Linked DNA regions of Tamandua tetradactyla. The protein of the gene in region 2 purifies or fractionates together with the protein of the main gene of each other region. This does not show direct contact. Links are inferred from orthologs where the notes say so. Each region holds a gene or a part of one and is shown on either strand. Other genes may lie near its edges.

Evidence for each region.
Region 1: the proteins of AURKA (region 2) and WDR62 purify together in Homo sapiens (affinity purification with mass spectrometry; 3 studies listed by BioGRID and IntAct, counting the BioPlex papers as one, with this or other methods). This does not show direct contact. The link is inferred for Tamandua tetradactyla from reciprocal best matches to the Homo sapiens genes AURKA and WDR62.
Region 3: the proteins of AURKA (region 2) and PPP6R2 purify together in Homo sapiens (affinity purification with mass spectrometry; 4 studies listed by BioGRID and IntAct, counting the BioPlex papers as one, with this or other methods). This does not show direct contact. The link is inferred for Tamandua tetradactyla from reciprocal best matches to the Homo sapiens genes AURKA and PPP6R2.
Region 4: the proteins of AURKA (region 2) and PPP6C purify together in Homo sapiens (affinity purification with mass spectrometry; 4 studies listed by BioGRID and IntAct, with this or other methods). This does not show direct contact. The link is inferred for Tamandua tetradactyla from reciprocal best matches to the Homo sapiens genes AURKA and PPP6C.

Annotation. Positions count from the first base shown.
Region 1 is NC_135342.1:29,895,071-29,903,022, reverse strand, and holds the start of WDR62 (WD repeat-containing protein 62), read left to right. Parts: upstream 1-4,949; 5' UTR 4,950-5,020; coding exon 5,021-5,197; intron 5,198-7,860; coding exon 7,861-7,952. UniProt on the Homo sapiens protein: Required for cerebral cortical development. Plays a role in neuronal proliferation and migration.
Region 2 is NC_135327.1:28,992,210-28,999,221, forward strand, and holds the start of AURKA (aurora kinase A), read left to right. Parts: upstream 1-4,010; 5' UTR 4,011-4,101; coding exon 4,102-4,198; intron 4,199-4,204; exon of another isoform or gene 4,205-4,316; intron 4,317-7,012. Other genes in the region: CSTF1 (cleavage stimulation factor subunit 1), read right to left, coding at 1,107-1,275. UniProt on the Homo sapiens protein: Mitotic serine/threonine kinase that contributes to the regulation of cell cycle progression.
Region 3 is NC_135333.1:45,678,162-45,685,136, forward strand, and holds the start of PPP6R2 (serine/threonine-protein phosphatase 6 regulatory subunit 2), read left to right. Parts: upstream 1-3,961; 5' UTR 3,962-4,216; intron 4,217-6,975. UniProt on the Homo sapiens protein: Regulatory subunit of protein phosphatase 6 (PP6). May function as a scaffolding PP6 subunit. Involved in the PP6-mediated dephosphorylation of NFKBIE opposing its degradation in response to TNF-alpha.
Region 4 is NC_135328.1:47,350,900-47,358,852, reverse strand, and holds the start of PPP6C (serine/threonine-protein phosphatase 6 catalytic subunit), read left to right. Parts: upstream 1-4,943; 5' UTR 4,944-5,174; coding exon 5,175-5,249; intron 5,250-7,953.

The DNA.
Region 1 (7,952 bases), on a different chromosome or scaffold from region 2:
AAGGGACACAGGTTGAGCGAGAAATGAACTTTTGTTGTAAGCCACTGAGATATGGGGTCACTTTGCTATGGCAGTACAACTTAACCATAACTTATGCTATCATTACTTCAGGATTTTGTTACAGGTAGTGTATTAGTTAGGGTTCTCTAGAGAAACAGAATCAACAGGGAACACTTGCAAATATAAAATTTATAAAAGCGTCTCACGTGACCGCAGGAACACAGAGTTCAAAATCCACAGGGCAGGCTGTGAAGCCAACAACTCCGATGGGTGGTCTGGATGAACTCCACAGGAGAGGCTCACCAGCAGGAGCATGAATGGAACCTGTGTCCTCTGAATCCTCCTTAAAAGACTTCCCGTGATAAGCTTTAGCATCACTAATTGTAGAAGACACTCCCCTTTGGCTGATTACAAATGGAATCAGCTGTGGATGCAGCTGACGTGATCCTATGAAATGTCCTCATTGCAACAGACAGGCCAGCACTTGCCCACTCAGATAAGCAGGTACCACAACTTGGCCAAGTTGACACATGTCCCTAACCACGACAGGTAGTCAGATAAAATTTCTAACCAACAGCACCCCTGCCCTCCACCCCTCATTACTAGAGATGACTGTCACTTGTTCCTGAAAGGGCCTAAAGCAGAGCTAATGCACATCTCCTTTGGCTGCCAGGCAGCCTCTCAGGTTATTTTCTGGCAGTCACTCCCCCCAATCTGTTTCACCCTGTTTCCTATCCATGCTCTCTCCTGAATCTCCTTTGGGAAACTAACTGCCCCTCACCCAACTCATAGCTGAGTAGCTGCTGTGAGATTGACCCAGGTGGATACTGACATGGAAATGGGGTTAGCTTGTGTGAGGAAAAACCTGGTGCCAGTATGGCTATAGAAGGGGACTGTATGGAGAACGGGCTGGAGGATAGGATGGGAGGAAGGTGAGGCTACAGAGGGTATCAGGACCCAGAGCATGAAGGGCTTTGTGGTTAAAGATCAAGAGCCTGATGGGTCCCTGGACCAGATAAGTCCTGAAACCTAGAGGGGCCAGCCTCTCCAGAATATCAACTAGTCCCATCTCCCTACTCCATATTACTGACAGCTCCTTCCAATATGAAAAATTAGAATGGCCATAGCCCAAATAGCCCTAAAGAGTGGGTTAGAAATATCAAAGGTGATGGTGGAGTTATACAGAGAAGGTAGGGTTTAACAAATGAGTATGATTGCTGAATACTGGTATTTCTTTGAGTCTCCAGTATCTTAGAGCAGCTAGAAGTAAAAACCTAAAATTGCAGCATTGTAACCCACACCAAACTCTGAAATCTGTTCTACAACTAATTGTTGTGCTGTGCTTTGAAATTATTGCTTTTCTGTATATACATCATTTTTCACGAAAAAGAAAAAAAAGGCGATTGTGATGATAAAATATTTATTCCTTCTAGCCTCCATTGTTCTGGAGCAGCTAGAAGGAAAAATCTGAGGTCGTGGTATCATATCCCATGACAAACTCTGGGATCTGTCCTGTAACTACTTGTTGAAGAGTGCTTTGAAAACTATTGTTTTTTTCTTTCTTTGCTTTGTATATATGTTAAATTACACAATAAAAAAAAAGTAAAAAAAAAAAAAAAAGATCAAGAGCCTAGATTTCATTCTACAATCACTGGGAAGCCACTGATGAGATTTAAGCAGTAACGATATGAACTGACTTAGGTATTATAAAGTCATCTGGCAGCTGTGTTTAGTGGTTATCAGTCTACTTATTATTATATATAAAGTACTCAGAACAGTGCCTGGCATGTAGTAAGTCCTTTCAACGTAAGTTGTGATTGTTGCCCTTGTGGAGGAGGTAGGAGCGACAGTAGGAGACGTGAGGAGCTATCAAGTGTCTTGATAAGATATGATGGTAGCCTGGGCTAAAGCAGTACAATGGATAGGATGAGAAGTGATCAGATTGGGAATGTAGTTTTCCTATTATTATAATTCTCTAATCATGTAGTAAGGATTTTCCATTTGCATATGTAAACCAAGGTGGGTTGTGGTTGTTGCAGGACAGAGATGTGTTCTGTGAGTGGGATCAAAGGATGGGTTAATGGGCTAGATTGGGGGCTGTGGGACTAAAGAAAAGAAAGGATCACAGATGACTCCCAGCTTGTATATTCAGTTCTGCAATGTCTGACCCCTCACCTGTCCAGGAGCTCTGTCGGAAGGTGAACTAGATTTGTCAGGGTTCTCTCTGCCCAGTAGGGGTTTACTTACTCCAGGAGACACTCAAAGAGCTGTCAAATGAATGAATGGTGCCAGAGTGAAATATTTTAAAAAGCAAGCTTAAAGCCTCCCCTGTACCTTTCTTGCCCTGCATCAGGGTTCCCCAAGGACAGCTAAGACACGGACTGCTAGGTTTCCTGGGGAGCCCTTCTGAAATGTGTTCCTCCAACGAATGTTTACTGAGCACCCACTATGTGTCAGGCACTGTTTTTAGGCACTGGGGTCACAATAGGGAACAAGACAGAAAAAAAAAGCCTCTGCCTTCATGGAACTGACATTCTAGTGAGGGAGTTCATGTATGAATGCATCAAATATGTGATATAGTGATAAGTGTTAAAGGGAAAAATGAAGCTGGAGGAGGCTTGGGAGAATATGGGTATGTCTGGGGAAGGTTTAGATCTTATATAGGGTGGTGGTCATAGAAAGCCTCACTGAGGTGATGACACAAAGGGAAGAACTTTCCAGGCAGAGGAAACAACGCAGGCAAAGGCCCTGGGGTAGAAATGTGCATGGTATGCCACAGGGATATCAAGCCGGCCAGTGTGTTGGGAGCAGTGAGCGAAGGAAGGAGATGAGATTATACAATTATGCCCTGCTCTTGTAAGGCACTGTAGGCTGCTTTCTGCCCGCTCCAGCCCTGTCTTCTTGTCTTTTATGGAGCGAGGGGAAGCCAGGGGAGAGAACTGAGATGAAGAAAAATTGAATTTGACTTAGGAGTTAACAGGCGCCCTCTGGCTGCATGCAGGGAACAGACATGTCAGGAAAAGTGTGAAGAAAGGGAGACTGTGAGGAGGCTACTAAAATAGTCCATCCAGAAGGTGATAATGGCCAGGACCAAAATGGGGGCAGGACTGGGGGTTATATGCTGTCAAATTCCGGACAGATTTTAAAGGGTGAGCCAACAGGACAGCCATTTGCTGATGAACTGATTGAGTAATGTGTCCTCATCCAATCAGCCTAAGTTCACCAGGGACAAACCTGATCCACAAAGTTAGGTTTATTTATCATGGCAATGAGAAAGAATGCACACCAGAGGTTCTGTGGGGAGTCTCACCAAACCAGAGTTATTATTGGATTTGGGAGAAGGATGAAATTCAGGTGAAATGTAAATGAGAAGTGTTTGAATAGCTGGAAGCAAAGCAGAACTATTAACATCGGGTCTACATTTATTGTTTTCAGGTCTCCTTGAAAGCAATAAAGTTAAGATAGATGTGGAATATTGTGACCAAAGCTCCTAATCTGACACTCTGAACCTGGATTGTAAATCGAGGTTGCTTCTCTGTGTCAAAGTGATTTAGATTCTTCTGGAAAAAGTGATGTTTCATTCTTATTGCTACAACTGCAAACAGCAAGGTCTGTGATAGTTTGAGAGCAAAGTTTCCCAGTAAGAAAGCAGCAGTCACTCAAAGGGGAGTTGTGTCACTTTATGGCTGGAGCAGCATGTCCCTGGGAGAAATGTATTTTTTCCTATTAACTTTGCAGCTGGCATTTCCCACGTCTGTTATTCCAGCCAAATAAATCGGAGGGCAGTTTTTTTTGTTTTGTTATTTTTTTACAGCACAAACTAATTTTTACTTTCCCAGGGGTGAGTAAAAAGAGGTAAGGATGATTCTAAGGTTTCTAGCCTGAGCAACTGAAGGATGGGGTAAGCTATTGAACAGGTGCACCTAAAAGCCTGGACCAACCTCACTTTTCCCTACAGAGCCGCCCTACCCCCACCCCTCCGCTTTCAGCAGTCTCCTTGTAGTACCTTTAGTTTATCGCCTACCCCCTGCTGTTTCACGCATCTGTACATTTGCAAGTTCGATGTTTACTTGCAGCCCGCAATACGGACTCTTCACCTTGCTAACTCCTACTTGTGACCCGCCTCAAGCTGGACCAGGTGCTCCGCCCCTCCCAGGGCCCCGCTTCCTATCAAGCCCCGCCCCACTCCTGCAGTCACTTGCGAAGCTCACTGGGCGGTTGCTGGAGCAGTTCGGAGCCCGGCAAGACCTGGGCAAGGCGGTCCAAGCCCTACTGAGTTTAGCCAGGTTAGCGGTCGCACTTTGCTCCTCGCGGGGGCCGCCGAACCCGGCCCGGCTCGCTCCCTCTCCGCCTGTCTCACGTGACGGCCGCTGGTCCCTCCTCACGTGTTGCAGCCGGAAGATGCCGCCTAAGACGCGCCATGCTGCCTTACCCGAGCTCCGCCTTCATCAAGTGGTGAATGGGGAAAGTACAAACATGCAAAGCCCGCCATTTGCTGCCCAGCTCTTTATTGCAGTGGCATCACAGCATTTCTGAGCCTGCGCCAACCAATTCGACTGGCTCGTCACTCTCTTTCGGCTCCACCCTGCGATTACACATCCGGGTGACAGTCACGGTGTGGGTAGTCGCCGTGGGTAGGCAGGCAGCAAAAAGCGAGGTGAGGCGGTTATGGCCTTACCCTTGCAAAAATTAAATCCTGTTTATTTCAGTGAATGATAAAAAGGCAGAATGGTCCAAAACCACCAATACGCTAAATCCGAGCATTAAGTAAACCCGAACCAAGGCCCCTTCCTTCCGAAGGCGGTGGCAGTAGCAATAGCCCCACCCTGTCCGAGGCTACGCTACTCCTTTAAGCCCTTATTGGTCGAAAGGGCCGCCCGGCAGCCCCGAGATTGGCTAAACCCGCGGCACGCCGTGTCCAATGGGCGCCGGCTCCGGCTTTCCCGCGGCGGTTCGCTATTCAAGTGAGTCGTGGCTGCGGCGGTTGGGCGTGTAACGGTCGCCCGGCCCCGGCGTGACGATGGCGGCCTTGGGACTCGCAGGCTACGCGCGGAACGACACGGGAGAGAAGCTGCCATCCGTCATGGTGGGGGTTCCGGCGCGGAGGAACCAGTCCTCCCCGCCCCCGGCTGCCCCGCTCTGCCTCCGGCGGCGGACTCGACTCACAGCGGCGCCCGACGATACGGTGCAGAACCGGGTGAGGATCTATCTGCCTTTCCCACCCCACTCCCAGCTCCCTGGGCCCCCGGGTCCAATGTTCAGCTCTTTGGCCACACCTATCAGCCTCCGACGGGTCCCCTCAGGTTTCTCCCAGCCCCGCCTCATCTACTAAGACCCGCCCCTTCAGAAAGGCTACTCCCATTTTTCGGTATCTTTTTCTCACGGGCGCTGCCCATCATTCCTGGCCTCGCTTCTCAACCCTTGGCCCCACCCACAAGCCTCTGGGTTGTTCCCGGCGTTCCTTTCCAGTCCCATCTCTCCGAACACCTTGTCTCTGCAAGTCACCTTCTCATCACGCTTTATGGGATTGAGCTCCAGTTGAACTTTAAACTCTCTCCCGAACTCCACCACTTTGTTGACCCCGCCGCGCCAGGTCTTTAGGGGTTTCGGCCCAGAGTCCTACCCGTCTCAGTCTCAGGTCTCCCCAGCCGTCCGTCAACCCCTGCCTTCTTCCTTTTCCCTTACCAAGATGGAATTCCATATGGCCACTCAAAACTATAGAGAGGATGCTAGTAATATTCTAAAAATCTCATCAGTGCCAGCTGCTGGGGATGGGGGTGGGGAGGGGGGAGTACAGAATACTTTCCTAAATCTTGAGTACAGAAAAAAAGAGGCGATTTTAGAATAGGTTGAATTTCCCCCAGCAAAGCAACATGTGTAATCTGTTTTCATAAACAATAACCTGACCATTATGTTTTAGGGAGATATGAAGAAATTGTGAATGTGACCTGCTGGGCATAGTGCATGGCATCAGATAAAGGGTGGATAAATGGTAACTGTTGGTGGACCTTGTTCCTGCTCAGTAGCTCCCTGCTATATTCCAAACATGTTGCCCATTCCTGCTTGCAAGCCCCTATGCAAGTGGGCCCCTGCCCACCTCTCTGGCTGTAGCTCCCCTGGCATCCCTCTTACCAAGGTTCAGTCACACTGACTTGTTCTCTGTTTCCTTGAGGCTCTCAGCTCTCTCCTGCCTTCCAGCCCTTGTGTTTGGGCCTTTTTGCTGCGGTCCAAAGCTAGCTCCTTATCTTTCAGGTCTCAGCCTGAATATTCTTACCTCCAAGAGGCCTTCTTGAATCCCAATCTAAAGCAGATACCCACCTTAGTCTCTCACCCAGCGCCCTGTTCTTCATGGCCCTTTCCTTGTATGTTCCTGAAAGTGCCTTGTGAGCTCTTAAACTATGTATAAATGTAGAGGAATAACAATAGCACTTTCAGAGTGGCCATATAGCAAAGTGGCAAAGAACACAGGTTCTGGACCTAGACTGTCTGGGCTTATGCTTTAATTCTATTCTTCCTAGCAAGTTAGGAACTTTTCTGTGCCTCTGTTTCCTCATCTGTAATGAAGATAAAAGTATTAATATGCCTTGTAGGGCATTTGTGAGGATTAAATGAGCTAACATACCTGAAGCACTTAGAACAACTCCAGGCACGTTGCAAGTACTCTGTTAGTACAGTTAGCGACTACTGTTATTGTTATTGTGTATTTTGGGCAGCACATCATTTATTTTTCTTTTGGCAGCACAGTGTAGATAAGCAAAAGATTGTCTAAAAATGATCAATTATACTACTGCCCAATAATGCTTAATGGTAAGTGAAATGACATGAGTGACAGTGCTGGACTGCCTGGTTAGAATCTTGGTTCTGCTCTTTCTTGAATGGGTAACCTGGGGCTAAAGTTACTTACCACTTCCGAGTATCCCTCTCCTTATCTGTAAGATGAGGATGGTGGTGACAATGGTAACTATGTTACAGACTTATTTAAACGTTGGATAAATTAATAGAGTTACAGGTATTTGAATAGTGTCTGACTTCTGATAAATGCTCAGTATTAACATTACTTGTTACCTTATGGTAACTTTTTAGTTCTGATACCATGGACTTGCCTAAGAGTGTTTTACTCTGTATAATTAGGAACTGATCTAAATATGAAAGTAGCACAATTCCAGTTAATCCCTACGCTGTAGGGATTGTAGTTAAATAGGGACTTGCCCGTTTCACCTACTTGCTTAGAGGGTTTTTAAATTTGAAATTCTAGACTGTGAGTTTGATGAGAAAATGGACAGGGTCCACTTTTGCTCAATGTTGTATCTCCATTACTAGGCCCAAAGTGCTGTCTTTGGAGCCAACCTACTTGGGTTTATATCCCAACCTTGCCGTTCCCCAGGTGTAGGACCTTGGGCCTCTAGTGTCCTTATCTGTAAAATTGTGGTGACAATAGTGCCTTCTTCCTTAGATTGTTATGAGCATTCAGGTCTTTAATCTATATAAAAGTATTTAGAAGTTTATTCCAGGGTCACCTTCTCAGTGAGGCTGTTTCCCCTTTCCCCTGTACTCTCAATCCCAATCCCTGCTTTATTTTCTCTATATTTGTTTTGTTCGTTTTCTTTGTTTTCCCTCCCCACCATCACCAGAATGTGAGCTCCAGGAAAGCAGGGCTTTTGTCTGTCTTCTTCACCACCTTGTACCCTTCATCTAGCAGTGTATTTCTCAAAGTAATGTTGAGAACAAACATTAGCTGCTGATAGCTTGACTGCAGAAGCTCAGTGAGTGTGTGTCAAATGCAGCAGAGACTGAACGGGACTGAGGCAGCTGTGATACTGCTGGGGCAGGTGCTTCTGACTTGGACCTTTTTCTCTGCAGGTATCACTGGAGAAAGTGCTTGGCATCACGGCCCAGAGCAGCAGTGGCCTAACCTGTGACCCCAGCACAGGCCATGTGGCCTACCTGGCAGG
Region 2 (7,012 bases):
GAAAGGTACAGCAGAGCCAAGCAGAGCCACGAGGCTGAGAGTCCATGCTGCAAGAGACATTTGGAGATGAAGAAGGAAAATGCCCAGGGGGAGCTCCATGAAACAAACCAGGAGAGAAAGCTGAGAGACTTCACCTTTCTGCTAAGAGAGAAACCCTGAACTTCATTGGTCTTTCTTGAGTGAAGGTAACCTCTTATTGGTGCCTTAGTTTGGACATTTTTATAGACTTGCTTTAATTGGGACATTTCCTTGGTCTTAGAACTGTAAACTACCAACTTATTAAGTTTCCTTTTTTAAAAGCAAAAAAGCAAAACAAAAAAACCCAACAACAACACAATTTCTTAATTTCTTGACAATGCTATAGCATAAATCTAACTGATCTCCCAACCTCCATGTTCAGACGTTCACAGCTCATCCTCCAAATCAGACCCCAAATACTTTTTAATATAAACCGAAAATATCCTCAAAAAATAAAAGCTCCTTTTTGTCATAATCATATTCTCATACAAAGACATAGTTCTGTAGGGTTTAAAACACTGATAGTTCATACCATGGATACTCCTCTGCAGTTATCCACAGTTCTGCACAGTGACTGCAAATATATCACTCCTGGACTTACATGTCCCAAGGTTGGTAAACATGGAGACATGCCATCCTTATTTCCCTTCAAGAAGGGACTGCTGCTCACCTGTGGGGAATGGGGTAAGCTAGCAGGGAGGAACAGGGATTGCATGGAAAACAATGCAAACAAACAAACAAACAAAAATTCTGTTTTGAAGAAAATAGACGTGATGTTTATGGTAGAGAAACTGGGGAGGTATGGGGAAGAGAAAGAGATTACTTTAGGAGTGTTGGGTACTCAGAGATGACATATGAGTTGAGACTTGAAAGAAGTCAATAATAAAAGACAAAGTGCTCCAGATAATGACAATGTGTATAAGCTGAGGCTGGAACCAGCTTCAAGTGCTCATAATGTGCACTTTGTTTCCAACTTTAGTATCCAGCATTGTACTTGGCACTAAACTAAACTAATTCTGAAAAACTGTGATGCTTGGAAAAGTTTAAATCTGTACCACCAGAGCTATACATTTATATTCACATGGTACCTAGTTTGATGAGATGCAGGAGTTGCTCGGAGGGCGCGCACACAGACTGAGGCTTGATTTCATTGATGAGGCCATTAGCAATGCTGATGTAGCCGTCATAGAGCAGCTGGCTAATGATCAGCTTGTAGAGTTGCTGGCGGTCCTTCAGGCCCACCTTGGTTCTATACATCTTGGAGAAGAGGAAGATAATTCTTCCTGTCAGCTGCAAGAAGAGATAAGAGGTAGATGGTGAAGGGGAGAGGCACTAGTAAATCACAGACACAGTAAATCAGACTTGTGGAGCTAAAATCCTAGCTCTACTATCTGCATTACCTTTGGTTAGTGTCCTCATTTCTCCAAACTTCAGCTATTAAATAAGTTACTGAAGGTTAAACGAGAAGGTACACAGAGAACATTGCACACAGTACCTGGTACACAGAAGGTATTCAAGTCATGTTAGCTGAAATTTACAGCAGACTCTCTCTTCATCAACTTATTCTTCCCCTTTTCTTTTCGGCCAAAGTTACCCACCTAAAAATTTATTCTTTATGGCTATCCCAGAATCTTTTATTTCTTCTGTTAATAAAAACACTGACTGTTGTTGTCAACAGGTAAGACAGCTGCTATTCCCTTGAAATATCTAGGAACTACTATTTCTACCAGCTTAGCCACATGCTTAAATTCATTCCTAAAATCTGTTTCATGACAACTGGGCTTATTGCAATTATATAATTTAAACCAGAGTATCAGGGCAAAAAGCTATTATTTCCATGAAAATGAAAGCAAACTGAATGCTTTGAAATGACTCAAGTGAACTGCTTAATATACTATTGGCATATAAGATACAGACAAAACAACTAAAAAATGGAAAAATTGTAAAAATCTGGAAGGACTGCACACCCTGATTGATTCACAAGTGTCTAAGTTCTCCTTCAAGCTAAAAAGAAAAACAAACAATAGAGTTAACAGTGGTACCTACTGGTATTCCTGTACATTAACAGGAGTGACTGGGGAGAAGGGAGAAGGTAGGGGTATCAAGCACGTTTTCTAACTACATAGTCCCCTCTGGAGAACCACTGAAATTACTGATCCTAGTAACAGCCAGCATTTACAACATCTTTACCATGTTTTTCAAGTTTTACTTTATTTAATCCTCAAACCATCCTATAATGGAGGTCCTGTAATCTTGTTTACAGATGAAGGGGGAATATAATTTTGCCAAAGATCTCACTAATAGTGTCTGGAGGAACCAGGACTAGGATGTAGGTGGTTTGACTCTAGAGTCTGTGTTGCTTCTAACTACTAGGTTGTAGTGTGCCCTAAAAACTTAATAATAAAGGCTAATAGTCACTAGACATTTAACACAGTATATAAAACACACTGTGGAAGCAACTTATGTGCATTAACTCATTCACACCTCATCCAGTATTATTTTAGAAATAAGCAAACTGAGGCCCAGAGTGGTTAATTAATTCACTCAGGATTAAATAGCTGTGAATGTCAGAGACTAGATTCCAACCCAGGCAATGTGGTCCCTGAGCCTGAGTTCTTACGCACCATATTACACTGACGAGTGTTTATGTAACATTTATGGAGCACTTCCTACGTGCCAGACACTGTGCTAAGCACTTTACAGTGAAGCTCATTGGACGGAATCAATAAATGCATGCAAATCTACGCATGTAGGAGCAAATGCTCTTAAGTCTATCTGCCGAGAACAGTGGGACACAATAGAGATGATGAAACGGGCTCAGAGAAATTAGGAAACCTACTCAAGGTAAAGTGTGCCTGGGTAACTCATCTGAGGTTACGTGGTCGTCAGGACGGTCCACTCCAAAGTCCAGAACTTAACCACCACTCCAACCTGTCTCTTCACTTCTGTCTGGGGCATCGTGAGATGTACAGGGACAATGAGAAAGTAAAAGAGAGGGCGAGACTCCGCTTCTCAACTCCTTTAGAATGTTCACTCGCCAGGCTGTAGGAGCCTCTTAATCACCACCCCTAATTTGCAGGGGAGAACACTGAGGCCCGAGGACAGGAATAACCCTACTCAGGACCGGTTACACAGGAAAGGGAGATCAGGACGCCCCTTCTGCACACGGCGCAACCATCCCAACGCAGAAGTTTATAAGGATGGGGTGGCGTGGGGCTGGGAGGTAGGCCCTCCAAAGGGGTGCGCAGGCCCAGCCCGGCAGCCCAGGAGCACTGACTCAGGGCGCACGCCTCCCCGCTCACTCTCGACCATTCCCACCTCGACCCAGTCCTTCCCGTGGGCCTCTGCAGACCCCAGCGGACAGAACCCGCTCCTGCCGGCGCATCCCGGGCTCCCTTACCCGCTGATCCGGCTCTCGCGGTCTCCCGCTCTCTCCCAGAAAAATGGAGGCGCGAATCTTGCCCGATCGATCGCTCGAAGCGCAAGTTCACTGCGCACGCGCAAAGGGCATAAAGCCGAGTACCGCGCTATCCATCGCTCCCACCCCCTCTCCGGCCCTCCTCGCCATCTGACTTACTGGCACGTTCAAGAGGTTCGGTTACCTGCTCCGACTTTATCTCCTGTACGACAGCCCCGATGCTAGAGGCTGCTCTCTTACGGGCAAATTTCCGATCCGGAGAGCACCACTGGCGATAGAACGTTCACGGGTTTGGTGGGTCGTTGGGGCCCCCTCTTCCGGGGCCCTTCGAGGCAAGTGCGCCTGCGCTTCGTCTCTACCTTCTCCTATGACTCAAGACAGCGAGTTCGTTGTTGACCAATCAAAAGGCAGCCTTCCTTCTAGCCTAGGCCAATCAGCGTCCGGAGTAGAGGGTTTAACTTGCATTTAAAAAGAAGAACCTTTGACTCTTAACGGCTGAGCTCTCTGTAGGACTCGGCTCCGTGGGTTCGAGACGGTGTCCGACGTGTGCGTGGACCAGTGGGGTCAGGTTTATGTGGCGGGTGTGAGGCCTGGGTGAGGGGCGGCTGATCCGGGCGGCCTACGAGCGGGTAGTGGGATCTGGCTGGAGCAGAGCCGAGCGGGCGATGGGGCTGCGGGGCGGGAGAGAAAGAATCAGCGCGAGAGGTCCTCCCTCCCTGCCGACTACGTGCCTCTGCGGCCTCATCTGTGCTCCATCTACTCGTGGGTTCCGAGGGGCTCTGTGAAGGTTGCTTATGGTTAACGCTAGAGGCAGATGGGGTTGTTGGGTGGCATTGGGGAAGGCTTTCTGCATGGATTCTCATATTCAGTGGGCACCTAGGTAAGGAAACCTCAGAGAAACTTCCGCTGTCTAGGAGTTTACTTTGGAGGAACGGGGAGAGAGACAGCAAACTAAACATGATTTCCAATTGTGACGAGTATTATGCAGGATGTAAAACAGTAGTATGGTTTAAAGGGGGCTACGTTAGATAGAATAGTCCGGGAAGGCGCTTTCCTGGCTGGATAAATGAATGGATGGATGAATGAATGAATGAATGAATGAATGGATGAATGAATGATAACCTCTACGCAGAGGCCTTCCGGAGCCCGTGCTTATCAAATCCTGGCCCTTGGACTCACCCATATCAGGATTACTTGGGGGTCCTTGTTAAAAACACAGACCCACGGCAGGTGGAATGAATCAGACTATTTTGGCGATAAAACCCAGGTGTCTACGTTTAACAAGGTCTCCAAGTGGTTCTGATATTTACTTCCAACACCTACCAGCCATCTGGGGATGTTGCTAAATGCAGAGTTTGTTAGGTCTGCGTTGAACCTGAGATCCTCAATTTCTAACAAACGTTCAGTCTTGACTTTTAATCATGTCTCCTCCTCAGGGTTCCTTGTTCCTTGAACTAAATGTTTTCAGAAGACACTCAGTTCCTCTCCACTCAGCCTCTTGGCAGATATTTGCAGGTTTCCTGTGGTGGGGGGAGGAGGGACAACTTTTTTATCCTAAACTCACAGGGCTATTAAATCTAACAGTTTTTCTGTTTAGAATTGCAGGATCTCTGTTTAATGGATTTTGAAAAGGCCATTTAGTTATGCAGTTTCCAAATCGCTGTAGATCAGAATCGCCTCAGGGGCTTTTTCCTGGGGACCCTCCCTGGATTTTCCGAATCAAAATCTTATTCCATTCTGTTTATTGTTCATCTTCCTGAGACAGAAACTATAAATAAATTCAATATGAAAAGAAAAAATTGGGATAAACATTGATAGCTTTGGTCAGAAGACTGTTGAATAAATATTATGAGGCTTATGTGCTCTCACAGTATTCTGCTACTAGGAATTGTTGGGAAAGTGAAAGTAATAGAGCAAGTTTAGAAAATAATGGTGCATAAAGTAGGCATGTATTTCCTCTTCTGTTTTTAGTTTATTTTTATCAACCAACTAAGGACTCTAGGTTCTTTAGTCCTGGCTCTGTCTTATGGAGTTATTTGCTTATTTTTGAAATGGATGTAGAAGCATTGAGGGTGGGGAAATCCTTTCTGATTAGATTTTAGTAGTCACAGAGCACCTGGGTAAGAAGAATACTGGTAGATTTCTGCTGTCTTGGTGTTTGTTTTACCTACTTGATAGTGTGGTGCCTGACTCATAGTATGGGCTTACAAAGTGTTTTAATAAACTATTTTTATTATTGATTTGCTTTAATTTATTCCCAGAACATTCATTGCCTACACTATGTGCTGTTCTAGGTTTCTTGGGCACAGTGGTGAGTAAAATGTGACTAAGCAAGCCCTCGCTCTTGTGGAATTTACTTTCTAGTGAGGGACACAGACAGTATATAAATATGCATATACTTTGTGTATGATGCTAAGGGCTATGAAGAAAAATAAGATAGAGATGGTTCTGGAAGGGGACATTTGAACAGAGAATAGCATGAAATGAAGGCGCAAGTGATGCATTTGGGGTAAGATCCTGATGGAGGAAAGAGCAAGTACAAAGGCCCTGTGGCAGGGGACCTTTTTGAGAAAAGATATACTGTGTGTCTGGTGTGCAGTGGACAGGAAGGAGGAGTGTGAGACTAGGTCAGAGAGATGGTCAAGGTTCACATTTTGTGGGACTTCATTGGTCTGTCCTTACCAGTTGGAACCTGTATTTCATTGAGTTGGGAAGCCATGAAAGTTTTGTGAATGAAGGATTGACATCTGACTTAACAGGATCACTGGCTGCAGTGTTGAGAATGGGTAATAGTGGGGCAGAATGAGAGGAGGAAAATCATTGGGAGCCAGTTGCAAATAGTCCAGGGAGGGAGGACTGTGGTCTTACCAGGTGGTGGTGGTAGAGGTCATATTCTGAGGGGATATCTGAGAACAAGAATGGGGAGGTGGAGATGGGAAGGATCGTGAGTTCACCTTGGGACATGTTAACATCGACCCCTTAGATAATCAGATGGAGATGCGAAAGTGGTAGGATATTTATATCTGGACTGGAGATGGAAATTTGGGAATTTTCCACCTATGGATATTATGCACAGCCAATAGACCAGATGAGCTCTCCTGGAGAGTGAGTATAGGAAAAGAGAAATGGTTTGGGAAAGAGACCAGCACACTCCCATGAGTAGAGAGTGGATAAAGAAGTTTGGAGGAGAGAAGAGGTTCCATTTTTGATGTATTAAGATTTTGATGCCTTTCATACCTTTCTGTGGGGTCCAGAGCAGGTGGTTGGATCTTTTGAGTCTGGTGGTCAGAGGAGAGATTAGGCCAGAAGAGGTTAATTCGAGGTATCCTGATAAAGATGTTCAGAGCAATGGCATTGGGTGAGGGTCCCTAGGAAATGGTTGTAGATGGAGAAGTGGGGGTGGGGATCCAAAGACTCATTCCTATATTATCTCAGGCATTTTCAGAGTGGAAAAGAGGGTGAGAGTGGACAGCTAGTGAGGTAGGAGACAAATCTGGAAGGTAAGTGAAGAAAGATGTTCAGGAAGAAATGATCAACCTTATCAAATGCTGCCTAGAACGCAACATAAAATGAGGG
Region 3 (6,975 bases), on a different chromosome or scaffold from region 2:
CATGACATTCATAGCAGCTCTATTTATAGTAGCCCAAAGTTAGAAACAACCCAAATGTCCATCAACAGATGAATGGACAAGCAAAAAAAGAATGCAGCACTGACATGTGTGACAGCATAGATGGATCTTGAAAACATTAGGCCAAGTGATAGAAACCAGTCTCAAAAGGGCAGTAATATGACTCCATTTATATGAAATGCCCAGAATAGGCAAATACTCTGAGGCAGGAAGTAGGTTAGTGGTAGCCAGGGGCCAAGGAAAGGGGGCCTGAGGATGTCTGGGTGTGAGGTTTCCATTTGGGGTGATGAAAAAGTTCTATATCTAGACAGTGGTGAAGGACGCACAACACGTGAACATGCTAAATGCACAGAATTGTTCACTTTAAAATGGTTACAATTTCAATTCCTGGTGCCTGCCCATGCAAAAAATAAAAGGTTATGATGATAACTTTTGCACCACATATATTTACCACAATAGAAAGAAAAGCTGCTGGGCCACTCCAATAAACTCCCCTGGTTGGTGCACTTCATATGTGCTGTCATAACTCTTTGCTGGGGAAATGAAGCACATTCTTGGGACTCCTTCAGAGAGGAGTCTCAGAGATGACCCTGAAAGCTGGCACTTGAGTTCCCCAGACATCACCCCATGTGCCTTTTCCTTTATTGATTTTGCTCTGTGTCCTTTTGCTGTAATAAATCATGGCCATGAGTCCAACTATAAGCAAAATCCTGTGAGTCCTAGAGGATCATAGAACCTGGGGGTGGTCTTGGGGACTGTGCTGGTTGGAAACTGTTAGGTACCCCAGAAAAGTCATGTTCTTTAACCCAATCTTGTGGGGCAGACCTATTTTGGGTGGGTCTTTTTGATTGAGTTGTTTCCATGTAGATGTGACCCTGCCCATTCAAGGTGAGTCTTAATCTGTTTCCTGGAGTCCTTTAAGAGGGAGACATGTTGGAGAAAAACACAGATACTTGAAGAAAGAAAACTCCCAGCAGAAGCCAGAAGAACCCACAGGAGCAGAGTAAGCCATTTTTTAAAAAATAAAACGTATTGTTTTAAATTTATTTATTTATTAATTAAAAAATTAACAACAAACAAAAACATTAACATGACCATTCCATTCTACATATATAATCAGTAATTCTCAATATCATCGCATAGTTGCATATTCATCATTTCTTAGAACATTTGCATCAATTCAGAAAAAAAAAAACAAAAACAGAAAAAAAAAGATTATACATACCATAGCCCTTACCCCTCGCTTTCATTCAGAGTGAGCCATTTTTGAAACTAACTCAAGAAGAAGGGCCAGCAGACGTCGCCATGTGCCTTCCCCTGCAGCACAGGAACCTGAACACAACTGGTCTTTCTTGATTGAAGGCATCCTCTTGATGTCCTAATTTGGACATTTCCATGGCCTTAGACTTGTAACTTGTACCTTAATAAATCCCCTTGTAAAAGCCAATCCATTGCATTCCAGCAACTTTAGCAGACTGAAACAGGGACCCCCCACACAAAGTGAAATTCCTATTGTATTGTACTATACAATAAATAGTACAAAATATTGCTAAGTTGATTCAAAAAGACTTAAATAAATGTAAAGATATACCATGATTATGATGAGAAACTCAATATTGTTAAGATGGTAATACTCCAAGAACTGAACTATAGATTCAATGCAATCCTTAGCAAAATCTCAGCAGAGGTTGTTTTTGTTTTTGGTAGAAATTGACAAGATTATAATAAAAACTATATGGAAATTCCAAAGACCAGGATAGCCAAAACAATTTGAAAAAAGAACAAAGCTGGAGGGCTTAGGCTACCTTATTTTTAAAATTTCCTTAAAGCTAGAGGAAACAATATAGCGTACAATTGGCATAAGAATAGGCACACGGACCAATAGAATAGAATACAAAGTTCAGACAAAACCCTCACATTATGGCCAATTGTTTTTTGTTGTTGTCCTTGAAGTTTTTAATTTACAATTTGCAAACTTGGACAAAGGGACATGCAGTTTCCAGCAACTTGGATACTAGCTGGACAGGTGTTCTGCTCCCCAGTGCGTGCCTAAACAGCCAAGTCCCAGAAAAGATTAATCCAAGTCTTTGGTGCCTGAGTTTTACCAGAGCCAACCAAGTACACAGTCAGCTAGCTATAGCCTAGGCCACTTGCAAGCAAAGACAGCATTCCAGGGAAAATAGGATAAAGGCTTATCAAAAAATAGAGTGGTAAACACAGAAGAAAGCATCTTAGCTGGAATAAAGGATTCTATTCAAACCCAAGCAGGGTCCACGTTCTTTAAGGGAGAAAAGGTACAAAGCAACAGCAAGTAAAGCTACAGCTTTCACTGTGGCATCCATGTCTAGTTATAGCGAAAAAACTCCAGTCCACCTTTTACAGTTTTTTTTTCCCCAAAATTCCTGACATTAAGAAATAAATTGAAATGTATTCATATTTCACTCTTACATTTCAATGACAAACAGAAAACAATTTACACGAGCAAAAAACAAATAAAACAAAACAAAACCAAAACCCAAACAACAAAAACAGAACAGAGAGAAGTTTACAAAACTAAACAGTGATCTCAGCCTTAGCAGCTGTAACCAAGGAGGGCATGAAAGCATTTAATGACGAAAATCACGAGTAGATGATAAAGTGTGCAGAAGCAGAACATTTATAAACCATTGAAAACCTGGCATCGCTGACTGCTGGGTCCCTACACAGCAGGACCGGGTCGTGGGGACCACGGGCAGGGCTGCGGGGGGCGGGGGGGGGGAACCTGCCCGCGTGCGCTGCTCCCCGGGCTCGGTCTCTGAGAAGAGAGGGGTAGGGACAGCTGCCAAGCCTGACGCTGGGGGCAGGTGCAACAATGGGCCGCCCCCAGCCGTAGGTCCTGCCGCTGGGTCTACAACTATGACCTGCGCCCTGGACATCTGACCGGTGCGTTGCCCGGGGCGCCTTGACGCGCGACTGTGCAGCGGGCCGGGTCACGCCGCAGGGGAGGGCGGGGACGGGAGTGGCGGAGGGGTCCAAACCCGCACTGAGAAGGCGCCGCCGGGACTCCCAGGAGCACCAGGCTGTGCGTGGTCTCAGGTGGTCGGGCCGCTACAGGGGGGCTAGGGTTGGGGACGCTGCTGCGTGGGGAGAGCTCGCCTGCTCCCGCCGGGCCGCACCTGCACTGCCCACCTGCCAGGGCGAGCGGAGAACTGAACCGCTTGCGGGCTCCTGCCGGGTACTCTGGGCGGTGCGCGGCCACGCAGCCGCGGGAGGAGGGTGGTGCTCAGCAAGGCTGGGGAGACTAGCCTCTGCCGCACGGGCCTAAGCCCTGGGCTCCCCTGTTTCCTCCACCTTGCGCCCACCTTTCCCACTGAGGGAGCCACTGGACTAGCAGGGACCGGCAGCCTCGGGGGGCAGCGGGGTACCCGCACGACTATGCCACTCTTCCGCGGTTAGCGCTACAGCAAAGGCCGTAGCCATGGCGCCCCGGGGCGGGCGGGCAGGACACGGCCCTCCCGCACTCTCCCCGCGCGTCTTTTGAATTGTCTCCTTTCTTTCCGCGTGACACTGCAGGCTTCTTTCCGTAGGAGCGGGATGGTGAGAGTGACATTTACTCCACCTTCCACCACACCGGCGTCCCTCCAGCACCGTTCTGTGGAGCTAGACTTGGAGTGGACGAGTCTTTGGCTAAGGGTGGAGGAGAAAGGCTACGCGGGATAAGGGTAGCGGACGGGGAGGGGAGGGCGGAGTGGGGGGGAGGAGGAGGAGGTAGGGGAAGAAGAGGATGGAGGTGGAGGTAGAGTGGGAGGAGGAGGGAGTACGAAGAGAAGGGGATGGAGGAGGGGGGGAGGGAAAGAAGGGGGAGGGGAAGGGGAGGAGGAAGAGAGGGGGAGAAGGAGGGGGAAAGGGTAGAGGAGGCGTTCCCTATTGCCGACGTAACAGATTGCCTCAAACTAGTGGCTTAAAATAATGCGGTATCTTATTTCACAGCTCTGGAGGCTCTAACCCTGAAATGGGGTGTGGGCGGGGCTGGTTCCTCCCGCAGGTTCCTTGCCTTTCCTAGCTCCTGGCCTGTCCTTCTAGGCTTGTCGCCCTTTCCCTCATCCTTCAAAGACAGCTAGACTTCAGGCTGGCTCTCCTGTCGTCTCACTGTCTTTTCTGCTCCACCTCTGCCTCCCTCTTGCAAGGACCCTTCCAGCAACGCCACTTGGTAATCTAGGTGAGTTGTTAAATTTGCAATATGCATATTGTAACAGATGTGAATCATGCCACAGTAAGGCTGGCAAAAGCGAAAACATGAAAAATAATTTGGGGTTTATAGATAACATATAGGTTACTCTATTACATGAACTGTAAGATGCACATTTTTTTTTCACAATTTAACATCTGAAATCAGGTTATAAGCACACAAGAAAGTGTTCAATGCCATTCATTATTAGAGAAATGCAAATTAAAACCATAACAAGATACCACTATCCATCCCCAGACTAACTTAAAAGTGTGTTCAGGTGGTGCAATGGTGGCTCAGTACCAGAATTCTAGCCTGCCGAAAGAAAAAAAGGTGTGTCTGTACCCACCATGGGCGAGGATATGGAGCAAATAGAACTCTCATACATTGTCATTGGGGATAGAAGCATTTTCCCAACGATTTTGGGGAAAAAAAGTCTTTAAAAAGCTAAACGTATACTTGCCCATGACTTAGCAATTGAATTCCTAATATTTAGCCGGGAGAAATGGAAATGGATCTGCACAAAAACACTTTTTCTGAGATCTTCATAGTAGTTTTATCGTAACTCCAAACTGGAAAGAGCCCAGCCACAGAATAAACTAACTGTGGTAGATTCACAAAATGGAACAATAAACAGCAGTAAAAAGGAATGTTTCAAAACATTCTAAACTCACTCATCTTTGGTTTGCTGATTCTTTCTTCTGCCTTTCAGATCTGTTTTTGAGCCCCTTTAATGAGATTTTCTTTTCAATTATTGTTCTTTTCAACTCCAAATGTTTATTTGGGATTTTTTTCCCCCTACTTTCTCTTTCTCCATTGAGATCTCTATTTTTTTTTCACCTTGATTTTTGAAGCATAGTTTTGCTGGATGTAGAATTTTCTCTTTGACATATATTTTCAGCACTTTGAATGTGTCACTTTCTCCCCTGGGTCAGCTGTTAATGTGTCATTGTTCTTTCTATGTGAAAGTCATCTTTCTCTGGCTGCTCTTATGACTTCCTCTCTTTGGCAAGAGCAGCTTGATTGCGATGTCACAGGCATGGCTCTTCCCGTTTGCCCTACCACAGGCTTATGGAGCTTCTTGGTTCTGTAGATTCATGTTTTTCTTCACATTTGGGAAATTTTTGGTCATTTCTTCACAATTTTTTTTGTGCCCCTTTGTCTTCTTTCCCTTTTCTTCTAGTACCCTCATTACATGTCTGTTGGTATAGCTGATGTTGTCCCACAGATCCCTGAGGCTCTTAAAGTTTTTCTTCTTCTTTTTCTTTTTTTTAACTGTTTTTCAGTCTGGGTAATTGTTATTGCTGTATCTTTGAGTACACAGATTAATTATTCTATCATATCAAGTCTGCTGTTGAGTCTATCTTGTAATTTTAAAATTTTCGTTATTGTACTTTTCAACTACAGAATTTCTATTTTGTTTTATTTTATAGTTTATATTCCTCTGTTGAGGGTCTATATTTGTTTACTCATTGTCATCATATTTCCCTTTAGTCTCTGAACATGTTTTCTCTCTCTCTTTTTTTTTTTTGCATGGGCAGGCACCGGGAATCGAACCCGGGTCCTCTGGCATGGCAGTCGAGCATTGTTGCCTGCTGAGCCACCGTGACCCTGAACATGTTTCTACAATTGTTTGAATGTATTTATAATAGCTTCACTGAAATCTTTGCTAATTCTAACATCTTAGCCCACTTACAGTCAATTGCTATTGGTTTTTTGTTCTTTCAGTGTGTGGGTAACATTTTACTCTTTTATTTTTGGATGGTTAGATATATGCTTTATTTATTTATTTTTGTTTGTTTGTTTTTTTCATCATGTTCATTTCTTGGAACATTTGCATCTATTCAGAAAAAGAAATAAAAGGAAAACAGAAAAAAAATGTATACATACATACCACTTACCCCTCCATTTCATTGGTCACTAGCATTTCAAACTAAATTTATTTTAACATTTGTTCCTCCTATTATTTATTTTTATTCCATATCTTCTACTCGTCTATTGACAAGGTAGATAAAAGGACCATCAGACACAAGGTTTTCACAATCAGAGAGTCACATTGTGAAAGCTTTATCATTATATCTTCAAGAAACATGGCTACTGAGGTACAGCTCTACATTTTCAGGCAGATCTCTCCAGCCTCTCCATTACATCTTGAATAACAAGGTGATATCTACTTAATGCATAAGAATAACCTTTCAACTCTATTTGGAATCTCTCAGCCATTGACACTTTGTCTCATTTCGCTCTTCCTCCTTTTGGTCAAGAAGGATTTCTCAATCCCTCCATGCTGAGTCTCAGCTCATTACAGAATTTCTGTCCCACATTGCCAGGAAGGTCCACACCCCCGGGAGTCATGTCCCACGTAGACAGTGGGAGGGTGGTGAGTTTGCTTGTTGTGTTGGCTGGAGAGAGAGGCCACATCTGAGCAACAAAAGAGGTTCTCTTGGGGGTGACTCTTAGGCCTAATTTTAAGTAGACTTGACCTATCCTTTGTGGGGTTAAGTTTCATATGAACAAACCCCAAGACTGGGGGCTTGGCCTATAGCTTTGGTTGTCCACACTGCTTTGAGAATATCAAGAATTCAACTTGGGGAAGTTGAATTTTCCCCCATTCTCACCATTCCCCAAAAGGGACGTTGCAAATACTTTTTAATTCACTGTTCAAATCACGCTAGGATTTATTGGGGCATCACTCTGGATAAACCCACAAAATCTCATGTCCTACTCAAGGTTCCATGTACTTAGGGTGT
Region 4 (7,953 bases), on a different chromosome or scaffold from region 2:
TCGTTTTTATTGAATTTCTCAAAGAACCAACTTTTGGGTTTTATCGATTCTTTTGATTGTTCTTTTGTTCTCCCATTTATTTATTTCTGCTTTAATCTTTGTTATTTCTCTTTCCCTATTTGCTTTGGGGTTAGTTTACTGTTCTTTTTCAAGTTCTTCCAGCTGTGCTGTTAAGTCCTCATTTTTTGCTCTTTCGTGCTTTTTAATATAGGCATTTAGGGCAATAAATTTCCCTTTCAGCATAGCCTTTACCATATCCCATAAGTTCTGACAAGTTATATTCTCATTCTCATTCATCTCCAGATAGTTGCTGATTTCTCTAGCAATTTCTTCTTTGACCCATTGGTTGTTTAAGAGTGTGTTATTTAATCTCCATATATTTGTGAATTTTCTCGTTCTTTGGTGGTTATTGAGATCCAGCGTCATCCCATTGTGATCAGAGAAAGTGCTTTGAATAATTTCAATATTTTAAATTTATAGAGACCTGTTTTGTGCCCCAGCATATGATCTATCCTAGAGAATGTTCATTGAGCACTAGAGAAGAACGTATAACCTTGTGCTTTGGGGTGCAATGACCTATATATGTCTGTTAGTTATAATTCATTTATCAAATTATTTAACTTCTCTATTTCCTTGTTGATCTTTTGTCTTGTTGTTCTATCTATAGAGCAGAGTGGTGTATTGAAGTCTCCTATATTATTGTTGAAACCTCTATCACTCCCTTCAGTTTTGTCAATGTCTGTCTCATGTACTTTGGATCTCCTTGATTGGGAGCATGAACATTTATGATTGTTATATCTTCTTGGTGAATTGGCCCTTTAATTAGTATGTAGTGTTCTTTTTTGTCTCTTATGGTGTCTTCACATTTAAAGTCCATTTTGTGTGGTATTAGTACAACTACTCCTGCTTTCTTTTGGTTACAACTTGCATGAAAAATATTTTTCCATTCTTTCCCTCTCAAACTGTTTTTTATCCTTGTGTCTAAAATGAGTCTCTTGTAAGCATAATACAGCTGGATTATGTTTCTTAATCTATTCTTTCAATCTGTATCTTTTAATTGGTAAGTGTAGTTCTTTCACGTTCAAAGTTACTACTGAAAATGTGCTTCTTTATTCCACCACCTATCTTTTTTATTTTATTTGTCAGATCTATATATTATTTTCCTTCTTTCTCTTTGTATTTAAAAAATTACTCTTAGTGGTACTCTTCAATTCTGTGCCCTTCTCCAGACCTCCCTCTCCTGTTTTTTTTTTCTTTCAACCGGCTGAACTTCTTTTAGTATTTCTTGTAGGGCCAGTCTCTTGTTGACAAATTCTTTCAGTTTCTTTGACTGTGAAAACATTAATCTCTCCCTCAATTGAAGGACAATTTGGCTGGGTATAGAATTCTTGGCTGGAAGTCTTTCTTTTTCAGGATTTTGAATATATCATACCACTGCCTTCTCACCTCCAGGGTGCTAGTTGAATAGTCTGAAGTCAGTCTTATTTGATTTCCCTTGTATGCAGTAGATTGTTTTACCATTGCTGTATTCAAGATTTTCTGCTTCTCTTCAACATTTGACTGACTGATTAGTATGTGCCTTGGGGAGGCCTAAAATTAGATTTATTCTGTTTGGAGTTCTTTGGGATTCTTTGACTTGTATATTTGTGTCCTTTATGAGGGTTGGAAAGTTTTCCCCCATTATATCCTCAACCACCCTTCCTAGCCCTTTACTCCTCTCTTCTCCTTCTGGGACACCAGTGATTCTTATATTTGTGTGCTTGTTTTGTCTATCGCTTCTCTGAGTTCCCATTCAATTATTTCCATCTTTTTTGCCTTTTGCTGTTTTGAGTCTTTGAAGTCAATTATCCTGTCCTTTATATCTACTATTCTTTCTTCTGTCTCTTCAGATCTGGTGTTGTGTGCCTCTAGTATGTTTTGCATTTGTTCAGAGTCCTTAATCTCTGTGACATCCACTATTTTTCTATTTATTCTTTCAAATTCCTCTTTATGCTCTGTCTTTTTCTACTTCTACTTCTACTGTCTTCTTGATCTCCTTTATGTCATTTGCTATTCCACTTATTTTATTAAGTAGAGTTGTATGAACATCTTTGATTAGTTTTTCCAGTGTCTTTGTCTCCTCTGGTGTTTTAATTTGGTCATTAGGTAGGGCTATATCTATCTGCATTGTGATATGTTTTATGATCTTCTGCTGTCTTCATTGCATGTAAATATCTTGATTGATTTACTTTGGGTGTTGATTTCCTTCAGTAGTCTAATGCCTTGTGTTTATGGGATTGTTGTACAGCAGGGAGCAGAGCATGGAGTGGGCACTCTGTGTGGTGATTTGTTTCAGGGAAGGTATAGGCACAGGCTGGGGATGTTATGCTGATGCTTGTGAACGTGGGTGCCCAGCAGCTGAGGAGGATATAGCTGTGAGGATGCACCAGTCTGGGGGGGCAGGAGGCGTAACCCTGGTGTGTGCTGGAAGAAGGCACGGGGCCCTTTGTACACATGTGTAGAGCTGTGGCAGTGGTTGGCGTTATGCCTTCATGGATTGGGGGCTGATATGACCTGGCTGCTCAGGTCAGCATTTTCTCAGACCTGGGAAATGTGGCTGAGGGCCATGCGCATAGGGAGTTCTAGGGCTGCTGTAAAGTGCGGTTCCCAGAGCCGAATGACATGATTGGGGGTTCGTGCGCATGCGTGGGTCTGCGAGTGCCATAAATAGATGCACAGAGCTTAGGCAGGGTGGAGTGAGGCTGTGCAACACTATGGGTGGGGGGGTCGGGGTAGCCTAGGTGTGGAGGTTAGTGCCTGCAGCCTTTATGCACTGGCAATAGCCTGCAGGGAACAGTGAGGGGGAGGCAGTGCTTGGAAGGTGTGCAAGAGAGGTGGGTTGGGCTGCACTTGGGCTGGGGGTGTGGGGCATGTATGTGCACTGGGAGCTGGTGGGGTGGGGGTGCTTGGAGTGTGGGGAATGGGAGTGGGTGACGGGGTTCGGGTGCATGGAGTGTGGGATGAGTTGCCGTTCACAGGGCTGCGCCAGTGAGGGTAGCGCACCCAAGGAATGCGGCCTGGCTTACTTCCTAGTCCCAGGCTCCTGTCCATGCACACCCATGGACTCAGTGGCTCTGCGCATCCAAGCCACGCTCCAGCTTTCTGCCTCTCAGTTCCTCGGCCTCTGCAACCAGGGCTGCTGCATGTAGTGCAGAAGGCTCTCCCAAGTCAGGAACACTTTCGAATCGCCACCTTGGTTGCCCTCCTGTCCCTTCTCTAACTTTTCCATGGATCAGGGCTAAGCTCGAGCTAGTCTATTTGGCCATTTTCCCTGAAGTCAGTACCAATCACATTTTGCAATTAAATATTTGCTAATTTACATTTTTTTTGTTTCCCCATCAGACTGTAAGCTCCCTAGTTGTCTTACATCTGTCTTATTCACATCATAGGTACTATATACCTCTTTGTTGAATAATGAAGAAATGAATGCTTGTGGGAGGCATTAACTCTGCAACAAACTTATTTTTTAAATTAATTTTATTTTGATACAATTTCAAATTTACAGAACAATTACAAGAATAGAACAAAGCACGTCCCCCAGAGACCTCATTAAAGTTTTGCCAATTGTCCCCCAAATACATGTTAGAGCAAGAGGAGAGTGTCAGCTATTATTGGATTTTCTAACAATATCCCAACAGGTCTCTCAGCTGCAACCATTTCCTCTGCCTTACCCCATACAGAACCAGAGTGATTCTTTTAGAACAATTTAGAACATATTTCAACTCCACTCAAAATTCTATAATAGCTCTCCAGTCTTGTATTTTCTAAAGACTCTGGAAGCGCTCCTGTCTTAGCACTTCCTATTGAGGACTCCACATCTGCTCTTGCTGATCAATTCCCTCAGGTATCTGTGCGGTTAATTCCCCAGCTTTTTTTTTTTTTTTTTAATACATTACCCTATCTCCTTAATCCTTTTTTTTTTTTTTTTAATAAAAATCACTTTCTAATAATATGGTTATTTTTGTTATTTTTTGGGCGCATGGTCCGGGAATCAAACCCTGATCTCCCGCATGAAAGGCGAGCATTCTACCACTGAACCATCCGTGCACATTCTATATGGTTATTTATTATGTTTAATGTTTATGTTGTCTTCCTCTGCTAGACCGTAAATCCATTTTGAGGGTAGGGAGTTTTGCTATTTTATTTGCTAACTACCCTAAACCCTTACGATCATACTTGAAACACAGCTGATGTGCAATAAACAGTTGTTAAATGAATGAATATTAAAGGCATGCAATATGCCAAGTACTGTTCTTGGCGCAAGGGATACAACGAGAAAATCTATGCCCCGTGGGACTCACATTTAAGTATGCTTAAACCAGCCAGACTTATTTTTCCATTTTGGCCCCACCGCTTATTCCCTGAGCAATTTTGGACAAGTTACTTTAAGCTCTCGGTTTCCTATGAATTAAATGTGATGAGAATTGATTTAACAGCATTTATAAAGCATTTTGCATAAGAAATGTCTGGATATTTTCCCCCTTCCTTCCGGGCAGAAAGATTGGAAGCCTGACATCTCTGCCACAGATTTGGTGGTGGTTGTTTTTGTTGTGCAGATCCATGGATTTCTAAAATTTTTATTCAATAATATATACAATCTAAGATGTAGGCAAAGTTTTCACAAGGCCTTTGAAAAGTGTAAGCAGGTTATCATAGTCTGGGGGCCCCAATTTTAAAGTGACTTCAAGGTGAAACAGAGAGTGGTGAAAAGGGTCGGAAACTGCGTTTTGCATCCGAAAAACCTCGTTGGGTTCCTCGAAGTGAAAATCCCGAAGGAGGGAAGGGAAGGAAAGGAAAAAAAAAAAGAGTAGCTGGCCGCGAAAGCACACTACAAGTCCCAGCAAGTCCCGCGACGACAACTATGGGTCCCAGCAGGTATCGTTCGCCGACCGGAGGCCCTCCTCCCTCCCCCTACCCGCCGCGGCCCCGAAGGGCCTGCAGCCCGGGTTCAGCCAAAGAGGGCGTAAGGCGCACGGAGGGAGCCAAGAGAATCGAGTCAAGCTTTAACTTTGCTGCGCAGACGCCTCTCATGGGCCGGACGTGACGTAGGAAGAGTTCCGGCTTCGGCATCCGCCGCTGCCGCCGCTACAACATCTACAGCCGCCGCCGCCGCCGCTGCGGTTTGTACTTCTAAAATGGCGCCACTAGACTTGGACAAGTATGTGGAAATAGCGCGGCTATGCAAGTACCTGCCAGAGAACGACCTAAAGGTGAGCTCGTTGAAGCGGGCGTCCTGCTTGCTGGACTCGCCTCGTCCGGCAGTAGTGGGCCCTCCGGTCCTCCTTTCCTCCCTCGGCGGGACCCTTGCTGTGGAGGGTCCAGCAGGGCGCAGAGTGAGCAGGTTCGACCTGGTGTTACGCGGGGAGCCGAGCGAGCCTGCGTCTCAGGAATGCTGTTCAGTTTTCTTCAGTGGGGATCCGCAGGGATGTCGCGGCCTCTGCCCCAGAGTTGCCCCTCCTGGCTATCGGACTCCGAGCCCTGACTGCGCTAGTTATAAGACCCCTCTCCTCCTCCTACTTCCGGGTCTCCCATAATCCAAACCAAGCCCCAGGCCTAGTGTTCTTGGGAGGGGGTCGTCTCGAACAGAATAGATTGGAGCTCCGGGTGGCCGGCGTCTGACAGGAGATGCCGCCTGCGTCCCAGAACGCGGCCCTGGTGTGTTTAGGTTTCTGAAGCATCGGAAGACGATGGCCCAAACGGTTTGGTAGTGATATGGGAGAACATCAGGTCATCCCTCTCTCCTCACCATCCTCCCGAATTGCGGGTTTGTAATGTTGGTTTGGTTGTTTTAATTCGGATGTGAATCCCCTTTCTGGGTTATATGTTGAGTTAAATTTAAGTCGATAAAGTAGTAGGCCCTCAATAAGTACACATATTTCTCTACTCTTTAAGTCGTTCCTCCCTTCTTACCTCAAGTTTCCACTTTCTTGGTTTTTAGAGGTGGTGTGTTTTTCCTTGTTGCTGCAAGCCCTATTAACAGAAATGTTTGCATGAATTGGTGTACAGCTTTTTTTTTTCTTCCTTGCGTGGGCAGGCGTCGAGACTCGAACCCGGGTCTCCTGCATGGCAGGCGAGAATTCTGCCATTGAGCCACTGTGGCTCGCCCGGTATACAGCTTTTTAAAGAAGTGTTTCTGTGTGCTTGCTAAAAGCAATGCTTAGATGTCTGCAAGTGTTTACCGTGTAGGGCAAGTGCCTGTTTTACTTCAGTAAACTTTTATATTATGTGGTGAGTGGGTAAACTGTTGACAGTTCCGCTTAGTGTTTAATCTGAGTTTAAGGTAATTTACTTTGTTCTGTGAATATTTTCTCTTAAGGAGGAGATACTTGCTTTTTTGTTTTCCTGTCTTGTCCAGGAAGTTGATACTTAACCTGCCTTAGTCAAGAAGTATTCCAAATGGTTAAGGTCACTTGTGCTGTTGTGAATGTAACTGAATGGTTACATGTTGATTATATGTGTTGTATGATAGAAAAATCTCTCTTGTGCATTTCCCCTTTTTAATAGAATAAATTAATTTAAATGAGGACAGAGAAATAGTAGTAGTAATGTAGCTTTCGTGCTCTTAGAATCCTTCAGATATTAGTTTTGTGGTTTGATTTCTTTTTTTAATATATTAGCCATGTGATTTTATTTATTTATTTAATTTTATTTTTTGTGTGGCTTCTTTCTGCTATGTACTTTTTCATGAGACAAGAACACAACCAACATTGGGACCCAATTCATGGAAATTTACCAGACCTGTTTGGTACAGTTGTTAATCCCATAGGTGAAGTTGATAATTGCATATCAATGAATTGAGATGATATTTTGTTTTCTTTTTATCTATCATATGAGAAGCTGTTTTTTTCCCCCTGGTGTGCGTTTGTGTTTGTGCACGTGTATACACATGGACATGGACCAAGAATCAAACCCAGGTCTCCCACATGGCTGGAGACCTCCGAACCTGCTTGTGTGCTCTGTGAAGTTGTTTTGAGTTTTATTTTATGAATAATAAAATGTCGCTTGTTCTTATGAAAAGGTGTCTTGATATTGAGTTGAAACTGAGTACTGAAATGATTTGAAAAATAATCAGTTGAAGTTTCTTCAGGCCTCTTAGATGGATAAACATTAGATTCCCTTTCCATTTTAAGGAAATATAGTTATTAAGTCATTTCGTTTCTGCTTAAAATACAGCTGAACTGTGGTTTTTATCTGTTTCTTAATAAACTTCTTGATCTGGAAAACTACTGAGAAAAAAGTTATTTTTCTGTTTAATTAGAGCTTTCCTTCTATGTCTTAAAACTGTTTTTATGAGGTTACTTGTGCTGCTCATCTCTGGTGTGTTTAAAGAAATTTAATTTTGTTTCTGTTCCTTGGCATGAAGTGCAAACTAAAATAAAGTAGGCCAGGAAAGTATTGCAGTGGCACCTTTTCAGAGGTTTTAAAGCCCAAATAAAAGGTTATTTCAGAGGAAGAAAAGAGACCATTGGGGCCACCTAATGACCATAGTGGAAGAAAGTTGTTTTGGTAGAAAAGAAGGTAACAGGAAGTTACCCATGTTAGTTTTTGTTTTTTAAAAAGTATTTTTATTGAGAAATCTTCACACACATGCAGTCTATACCCATGTTAATCTTAAATTGACTAGACGTTGGAGGTACTAGATCAGATAGTAAATGCATAAGATGTTTTGGATCTAATCAGGAGGTCTCTGTATTTGAGTATTTGGTTTTTTTTTTTTGCATGGGCGAGTACCAGAAATCGAACCCCTGTCTCCAGTATGGCAGGCGAGAACTCTGCCTGCTGAGCCACTGTGGCCCAGATCTCTGTTTAAATTGAAAGTGATCAGATCACTAGTTACTGGATTGAATCTACTTTCTTTGAAGGAATAAGAATGAAATATGTAAAAATGAGTGGACAAAGTATAACCTTTTTATA